Oryzias latipes: one gene and its partner. The protein of the gene in region 1 interacts with the protein of each later gene in a pairwise test. Links are inferred from orthologs where the notes say so. Each region holds a gene or a part of one and is shown in the gene's direction. Other genes may lie near its edges. The genes, in order: zinc finger protein Dzip1 and ppp2r5a.

Region 1 (3,820 bases):
GTTTTATGTTTATGTAAATATAAAGAAGTGGAACAAACACAGAATCCTTTGCCAAATACGAAATTCAAGATCCTAAAGTCATTAAATGACAGATTAATGACTTTAGTTCTGATTTTATAAACATCCGAGAAGTTCCCTCAACTTCCCCATTGAAGCTCATCTGTAAATAAATAATTGGAAGTAAGGTGCAGTTCACTAAACAACCACTGGAGGTCCCAATAAAAAATGTCCAAGAATGAGGAATAAAAATGCCAGCAGAGTTTTCTTAGTTTTTTTTTTTTTTTTAATTGACTTCATAATTTACGCTGATTTCATTTTACCAGCATAAAGTTTTTATCAGCGCAAAACTGCTTTTCCTTACTTTGCTGGAATTGCGGTTGACGAGTTAAGGTAGTCAAAAGAGCGTAAATACTAGAGTTAAAGCTCCGGTGTCAAAAGGGTCAACAAGAACCGCATCGGATCAGAAACGGAGTCCTTCAGACAGGAAAGGTTTCAGTTCTCTTAAACCTCTGAATGATCTGTTTGAATCTTGCAGTTTTTCTCCATTACTTTGTCTCATCTCTGCACACAGAAATGACATCCTCAAAGCTTCCTGTGCTTTTGCCAAAACAGTCTGTAGGGTTCAGCAAAACATCTCTCCCAAAACAGTTCATCTGTGCACCGAAGCTAAGTTTTGTACCGTCCCTTTAGCGTTCTGTTGGTCCCGCAGATCACAAAGTTTTGACATTTTTCACCGTAAAACCGCCGACCCCTCATGTCGGGCTGACGGGATATAAAAGGGAATCAAGCTGAAAAGGAAACACGTAATGAACTCACACTGGCAAGGAAATCGCCGCTGTGCCGGATTTTTTTATTTGTGTCTTTTACTGTAAAGTAAAAGTCTCAGAGCAAGAAGATATACAGTCAAATAAGCTGAACAGGAACTGTATAAATGCACAGATTGAAAGTATCCCTGGGCGTCTTTTCCCGCCGACGTCACACAGAATAACATCCCTTGCGATGCGGCGAGGGGGAAAATCCACAAGGATGCTGTGATGGCGAATGGCGTATATTTATATAGCGCTTTTCTACCTACAAGGCCCGAAGCGCTTTACAGTCACACACACATTCACACACTGGTGGCGGCTTCGCTGCCGAACACTGGCGCCAACTTCCCACCAGAGGCAAGGTGGGGTTCAGTGTCTTGCCCAAGGACACATTGACTCATGGGCATGCAAGCAAGGCTGGAATCGAACCTGCAATTGTACGATCATGGGTTGACCGCCCTACAGCTGCACCACGGCCGCCCCTGATCTGTACACCTTTTTTTTTTTTTTTTTTTCAAGAAATGAGCCAAAGTGATGGGAAAAAAAAAACGGCCTGAAGAGAATCTGGATTCATGAAGCTCCATCCTTCATTTATTTATTTTCTTTGGTGACAGAAGAACAAAGCTCTGGCTGTTGTTTGTTTGTTGTGGCTTGTCTGTGGGAGCACGCTCGCCGTTCTTCTCCCTCGTGTTTGTGTCCGTGCTCATTGACCTTGTCTGACCCGTCTCCAGCGGACTCCAGCCTCTCCGAGCCTGAACCCGCAGCGGAGAGGAAACCCAAAGCAGCGCTGAAAGTGGGCGCCAGCGTCAAGAGAGACACGCGCCTCGAGCTGGAGCGGAGCGTGGCCAAGAAGCTGGAGAGCCTGGGGGTGAAGGCTGTAAGTCTGACAGAGAAAAAGACCTGCTCGGCAGCAGAATCCCGTTTTCATTCCCGCTGTGTTCCAGAAGCTGAGCAGCCTGAAGAGCAAGGAGCTCACGTCTGTCATGTCCAAAGTGCGCGCGAAGCGGGAGATGACTGCAAAGAAGATGCCTGAGTATTGGCGCCACCATGAGGAGATCCTCAGAATTGTGGAGAAGAAGCTGGGCGTTAGGAGTGGAGGCAGAGATTTGACCGCAAAGACCAGATCCAAACAGCCTGTTCAAGGTACCAGAGTCTTCAGGACCAGCGGAGAACTACTTTCAGTGATCTGAGGTCTCTGTAGCATCTCAAGCACCTCCGCTTTCGGAGCCGTTTCCTCTCATTTTTGAGGCTTTTCTCTCATTTCCAGTGGTGAAGATCCGGCCCAGATCCAGCAGCCTGCCCTCCACAGCCAGACAGCCCCGAACTCCCCAACCAGCACCCAGAACCAGAACCAGCACCCAGCCTAAGACGTCCACACCCAACCCCAAGGCTCCACGCGTCATCAAGTGCGTTCTGGCTTCGTCTGAACATCCTTTTCTTCTCCAAAATGCTCCTTTCTGCAGCGATGGGAGCTTTAGAGATGTTTTTGGAAGAAAGCAAAAACTATTTTTTATCGCATCCATTAGGACAGTTATTTCATCCTAAATATATCAATAATAGCAATAGTTTGTTAAATATTCAGGCCTCCTGCGAAATTATTTAAATTAAAAACATTTTTTATTTTTATTTTACCAGATGCCGAACACTCAAATTCTAAACAAAGCTGCTTTTTAAATCCTTCAATGGATTTACAGAAAAACTGAGTTAATGTTGCTGCAATAAAAACCAACCCCACGGCGCCATGGCAGCTGAATAACGTGACGTTGGCATTATAAAGATCATGTTCATGTTCGTTTTTTCTGGAACAGATTCGCCCTAATTGCCCAAAATCTATTTTTAAAACACTTTTCTATATTATTATAAAGATTGTAAAACAGCAACACCACTAAGATTCTTCTGGAACTTATCACAGATTATCAGACTATAAAGAAACTCATTTGGCCCTAACTGCCTGAAATGTATTTCTACTTGACTATATTTGTAAAGAGCGATTTTTGGATGTTTTACTGAACACATGACAGATGTCTTAGTACTTGTTTCTAATAAAACTACTAAATTACCGTCATTAAGCTTTCAAAACCTTCATGATGGTTGCTTCAGGACGTGAGTTCTTCTTCTTCATATTTCTCTCCTCATCTTCTTTTTCAGGAGCCATCCCTTCAGTTCGGATGAGTCCGAGGAGGAAGACATGGAGGAAGAGGACGCTTCCAAACCCCCGACCAGCAGATCTCATCCGCCCACCAGAGCGGGCAGATTTGCTCCGGTCCTGACCCGGCAGGAAGAGGTGGGGCTTTTTTCCAAACCCCGACCTCGGCAGGCCCGGCCAGCCGCCGACGCCGTCACCAGGGCCGACATCGAAGACACGGAGAGCGAGGAAGAGGAGGAGGATCTGACGGAGGTCAGCGAGGTGCAGGAGATCACACTAGGAACGCTGCAGGGCTACAGGGACCAGAGCAGCAAGAGAAACCAGAAGGGTGAGCATCAGACAGGGGGGGGTGGGTTCGGTGAGACGCGTGGCTGAAAGTCATTCTACGTTTTAGAGACGTCGATCAATGAGATGGCCAGAAAGATCGAGAAGTTTGCAGAGAGGGTTGTGAAGAAACCAGCAGGGGGCGTGAGCGTCCTGCCTACGAGAAAGGACGAGGTCGAGGAGATCTCAGTGAGTGTTTTCTCTCTTTTTTTTTTTTTTTTTTTTTTAATGGACTTCTCACTGATTGGTTTCAGCAAACGAACATTTGTAAGAAGGTTTTGCTGCAGAGAGTCAGAAATCTGACGGTTAAACATCTGTGGCTGCAGCTCACCGACCTGGAAGGGGGCAGCGACTGGGTGATCTCCAAACCAGCATCCCTTCACGGTTCTGGACCCACAAGGAGGAGCATGGACTCCCCCAGCACCAGCGTATGGGGAACCTCCACCGGGAAGGGCCCCAAATCAGGTGAGAACAAGTCCCAAAGAGAGCCGGATCTAGTCCACGCCGCTTTTGTAACGGGGGCCGCTTTTGTTTCGTCAGATCT
Region 2 (3,920 bases), on another chromosome or scaffold:
TGGGGTGCATAAACGATCTAAGATCCAAAGAACAGTTTTGTTTTGTTTTTTTTGTCTTATTTTGCCATTTTGTATTCTCTGTTGCTGTCTAGAATTTCTATATAAAACATTTCTATATCTGCCATTTTATTCTAAACAAACGCCTTAAGAGATGCTTCAGCACTGAATCCAAGAGAACACAGTTGATGGGCTCATCTGCAGGATTTGTATATTTATGTGCTAAATTCTGCAAAAATGTTATTTTCTATCAAAATGTTAGCTAAACAGATTCAAGCAAACCATTCATGTCAGTATTTTTTTAACTGCATGGTTTCAACATTTTCTTTTAATGTAATATCGTTCATTTGTAAAAGTTTTCTTTGGTTTATCTGTATTTAAATGCTTTGGTCAAATTGCCTTGAATTTTAAAGGGTGTTGATACTTTTAGCTTGTTATTTGGTTGTAATTTGGTTATCAGTGGGGGTGAAAGATGGGTTACAAAAATGCCACAACCTTTATAATGCCACTTATAATGTCAGGTATTTTTATATTAGTTTAAAAAAAGCATGTGGGCTAAAATTAATGTCAAAGATTAGATTTTTTTTTAACCTGAAATGAAAGTGCAATTGGCTAGAACAGGAGTGTCAAACTCATTTTCACCGCGAACCAAATCAGCATAGTGGCTGTTCTCAAATGGCCAGATATAACTTATACATGTAACTAAATGCAATGAAAAAAAAGTAACTACTCCTTAATGTTAAATAGCTCATTATGTATTTATTATAACCTTTAAAGTGACAATTGCAGCTGCATAGAAAACATATGTTTGCTTGTTACTCTAGCATAAATCCTTTTAAATTTTGTCCGCTTATTAGAACCCACATAAGTCTATTAATAAAGGATCAAACTGTCCAAGTGAATAAAGAAAAATAACATAATACCGAGCTAGTCAGAGCATGTATTACAAAAAGGGTGCACACAACGTTGCATCCAACTGATGGTTTGTTGACAACATTTTGTCTGCATACAGACATAAGACCTGCAAATATTAACAACACGTGTTCTAGAATATGGAATTAAACTCCATTTTTCTGCCTGTTCTTGCATTGTCAAAGAAATGCTTTTCCCACCTATCTTTAACAAATAGAGAAGAGTAGCTTTAATTTAAAGTCTAATACGGAAAACAAAAAATTATTTGAGTAAACTAAAAATTTTCTGGCTAATAAAAAAAGTACTAAAATACAGTTTGAACATTTCTTAATTTCAGTCTATAACACGGAATAAGGCAAACAATATTCTATTTTGACTTTTCTTAAGGGAACATTTAGTCAAGCAAAAATTAAATAGAACTTTAAATTTTTCATAATATACAGAAAAATGTGTCTGACATTACAGCCGCCTTTCAGGCCTCATTCAACGTCATCCAGTTGTTTTTGCATGTTGCATTTTCTAAGTCCCGTTTTTCTCGCGCTCTGATTGGCTAAAAAAGTTTCCACTTTATGAGTCCCCTCTTCCCATTGGCTGCCTGAGACGTCAAACAGTGACGTACACCTGTCATCGCCCCTCAGGCCAGCGCACAGACAGACAGCGACGGAACGACTGGGAGTGTTTATGGCTGCCTTCTTTCCCCGTAACGAAGTTGTTTCTTGGTCATTTTTAGACACATCTAGGGGGATTTTGACGTGCTCTGAATAGCGAAGACGGCAAAGCCATGCTCGTGCAGACGAGGCGAACCTTCAAGGACTGAATGAATGCGTCGAGCGAAATTGAACTTCATCGATCTCTAAGAGAGTTTGGAAAATATGCTCAGCGGAAGTCAAAGTTGGGTTAATTGTACAGTATTTTAATTCGCGAAGTTCGTATTTTAACGACGCGCCGTGAGATCCGCATTTATCGGGTATATTTGTAACTTTATTTCCTCGACAGCGTTAGAGATTTTCATTCGGCACATAACGTCGGCTAAATTTAGCAGGTTAGCTAGGTGCGTTAGCTGTCAGTGTAGCTTCTTAACTGTTTTGCTGCAGCCGAAGTTCGCATTTGAGCAACTTTTTTAAGACTATGTCATCCTTGCTTTTCACAGTAAATAGACATTTGTGCACATGCTGTTAAGCTTTAAGAAAGGCGGGGTATTCAGGAACTTGGATTTAGCTGTATTTATGAGGCTAGTGCGGGTCTCTGTTTATCATTTTGCGTTAAATATTCGTTTTGCATGAGATGCAGTTCGTCGAAGCCGAGTGAGCATGATGGATCATACACAATAACAACAAGACTCGGGGAAGGAAAAGAGCGACGGGCTCGTGTCATCTGATAAATAGCTCGCCAGAAATCTCCATCAGATTTTTTTTTTTTTAAACATTACAATGTCGACCATCTCAGCATCCGAGAAAGTGGACGGCTTCACGAGGAAGTCCGTGCGGAAGGCGCAGAGACAGAGAAAATCCCAGGGTTCCTCGCAGTACCGCACTCAAAGCGCTCCAGTGGAGCTTTCCCCGCTGCCGCAGCTCAAAGGTACGGTAAGAGGATGAAGGGGCCTACCGCTTTAAATAGTCTGTGCTGACCACTGTCATACGGCAGGATGTTCAGATCTGGAATGCAACCTATAGTCAGAATGGCAGATAATACCCAGCACATATAACTGGCTGGATGTTGGGCAGCAGGATTGTTGGGTAGCAAAATGTTACCTGTCTGTTGTGTGTTTTCATTTATTTATTTTACCTGTTTAGTAATTATTCTCCCTCATTTTTGAAAGCACCTTGAAAATACTTTAACTGTGAGTTGATGTCACTTTTTTTCTTTTTCATCCCAGACTCACCATAAGTCAGTACAAGTTGTAGCTTTAGACTTTTGATAAATCAAATCTCCATTTCTGGATTGGCTTTTTCGCTAAACAAAAGGTGTTCTGCCATGGATATCCACGTTAAGATACCACGGCCCATCCATTCGGTTTGCCCGACCCAAATCCAAGAGAAGCCAACACTTTCACGTGACTCATAGACGAGAGTGCATCAGACGGAGTCGCCCTCTGCACGCTGGCTTGTTTTTGACCTGTTCATTTTACGCCTCATTTGTCCTAAAGAGACATGTGTGGCCTTAAGTGAGTGGCTGCCTGCCAGCAGAGACTCGGTCCTGTGCAGCAGAGACTTCGTCAAATGAAATGTGACACTGTGTGAGATAATAAGGGTGGCCAGGATGAAACTTTGCTGTCTGTTTTTAGTTGATGCACAGTTGTGTGTTGTAGGTAAGGACAGACATGCAGGGTGGAGGCCTTGCTCATTAAATGTGGCACATCTTTTCTTTATTATTTCAGCGCGTGTGGAGTTTTTGATATTCACTCTCCCTCACAGCAAACAGTATTGACATCTTGGATGGTATTTCACAGGTTTTACTAACAATTTTAAGAGCTACACGCGATTTGTTGGTGTGACGGTTTTTACATCGTGTTCAGCTAAATGTTCTCTAACTGACACGATAAATTCTAAGTTGCTCAAATGCATACCTGCCAGGATACATTTGTCAGCCAATCCATATTTCCGTTTTTATCTCTTTCGCAACCTCGTGGGAATGTGTTCAAATCCCACACCTGAAGAGCATTCTAGTAGTTGGATTCCTGAAGCCTGAGGTCAAAACTAATCTGAAGTCACCTTACTTTCACATCTAGAATGTGCACTTTTATTTCATTTGATTTTTAACAAAATACAGCTTTTATGAACTTTTAAAGTAGTGTTACACTGCAAATGAAATAATCTCTTCGGGTGAACTGTAATTTAGAAAAATGTTTTCAGTTCTGACAAGCTGCAACAGTTTAATAACTGTCTTTTATGAGGAAGAGCGAAGCTCAGGAGAAGAACTTGTCCAGTCAAGTCTCTGAAGCTACTTTATGCAGTCAAATGGTAAAAACAAAATATAGGAAAGAAAGTAGCATCAACAGACTGCTTTTGTAA

The links.
Region 2: the proteins of zinc finger protein Dzip1 (region 1) and ppp2r5a interact in binary tests that used the Homo sapiens proteins (3 or more experiments, as listed by UniProt). The link is inferred for Oryzias latipes from reciprocal best matches to the Homo sapiens genes DZIP1 and PPP2R5A.

The regions. Positions count from the first base shown.
Region 1 is NC_019860.2:16,457,035-16,460,854, forward strand, and holds part of zinc finger protein Dzip1, read left to right. Parts: intron 1-1,537; coding exon 1,538-1,683; intron 1,684-1,750; coding exon 1,751-1,949; intron 1,950-2,073; coding exon 2,074-2,212; intron 2,213-2,954; coding exon 2,955-3,280; intron 3,281-3,346; coding exon 3,347-3,465; intron 3,466-3,602; coding exon 3,603-3,741; intron 3,742-3,816; coding exon 3,817-3,820. UniProt on the Homo sapiens protein: Molecular adapter that recruits protein complexes required for cilium assembly and function to the cilium basal body.
Region 2 is NC_019882.2:6,276,953-6,280,872, reverse strand, and holds the start of ppp2r5a (serine/threonine-protein phosphatase 2A 56 kDa regulatory subunit alpha isoform), read left to right. Parts: upstream 1-1,537; 5' UTR 1,538-2,339; coding exon 2,340-2,487; intron 2,488-3,920. UniProt on the Homo sapiens protein: The B regulatory subunit might modulate substrate selectivity and catalytic activity, and might also direct the localization of the catalytic enzyme to a particular subcellular compartment.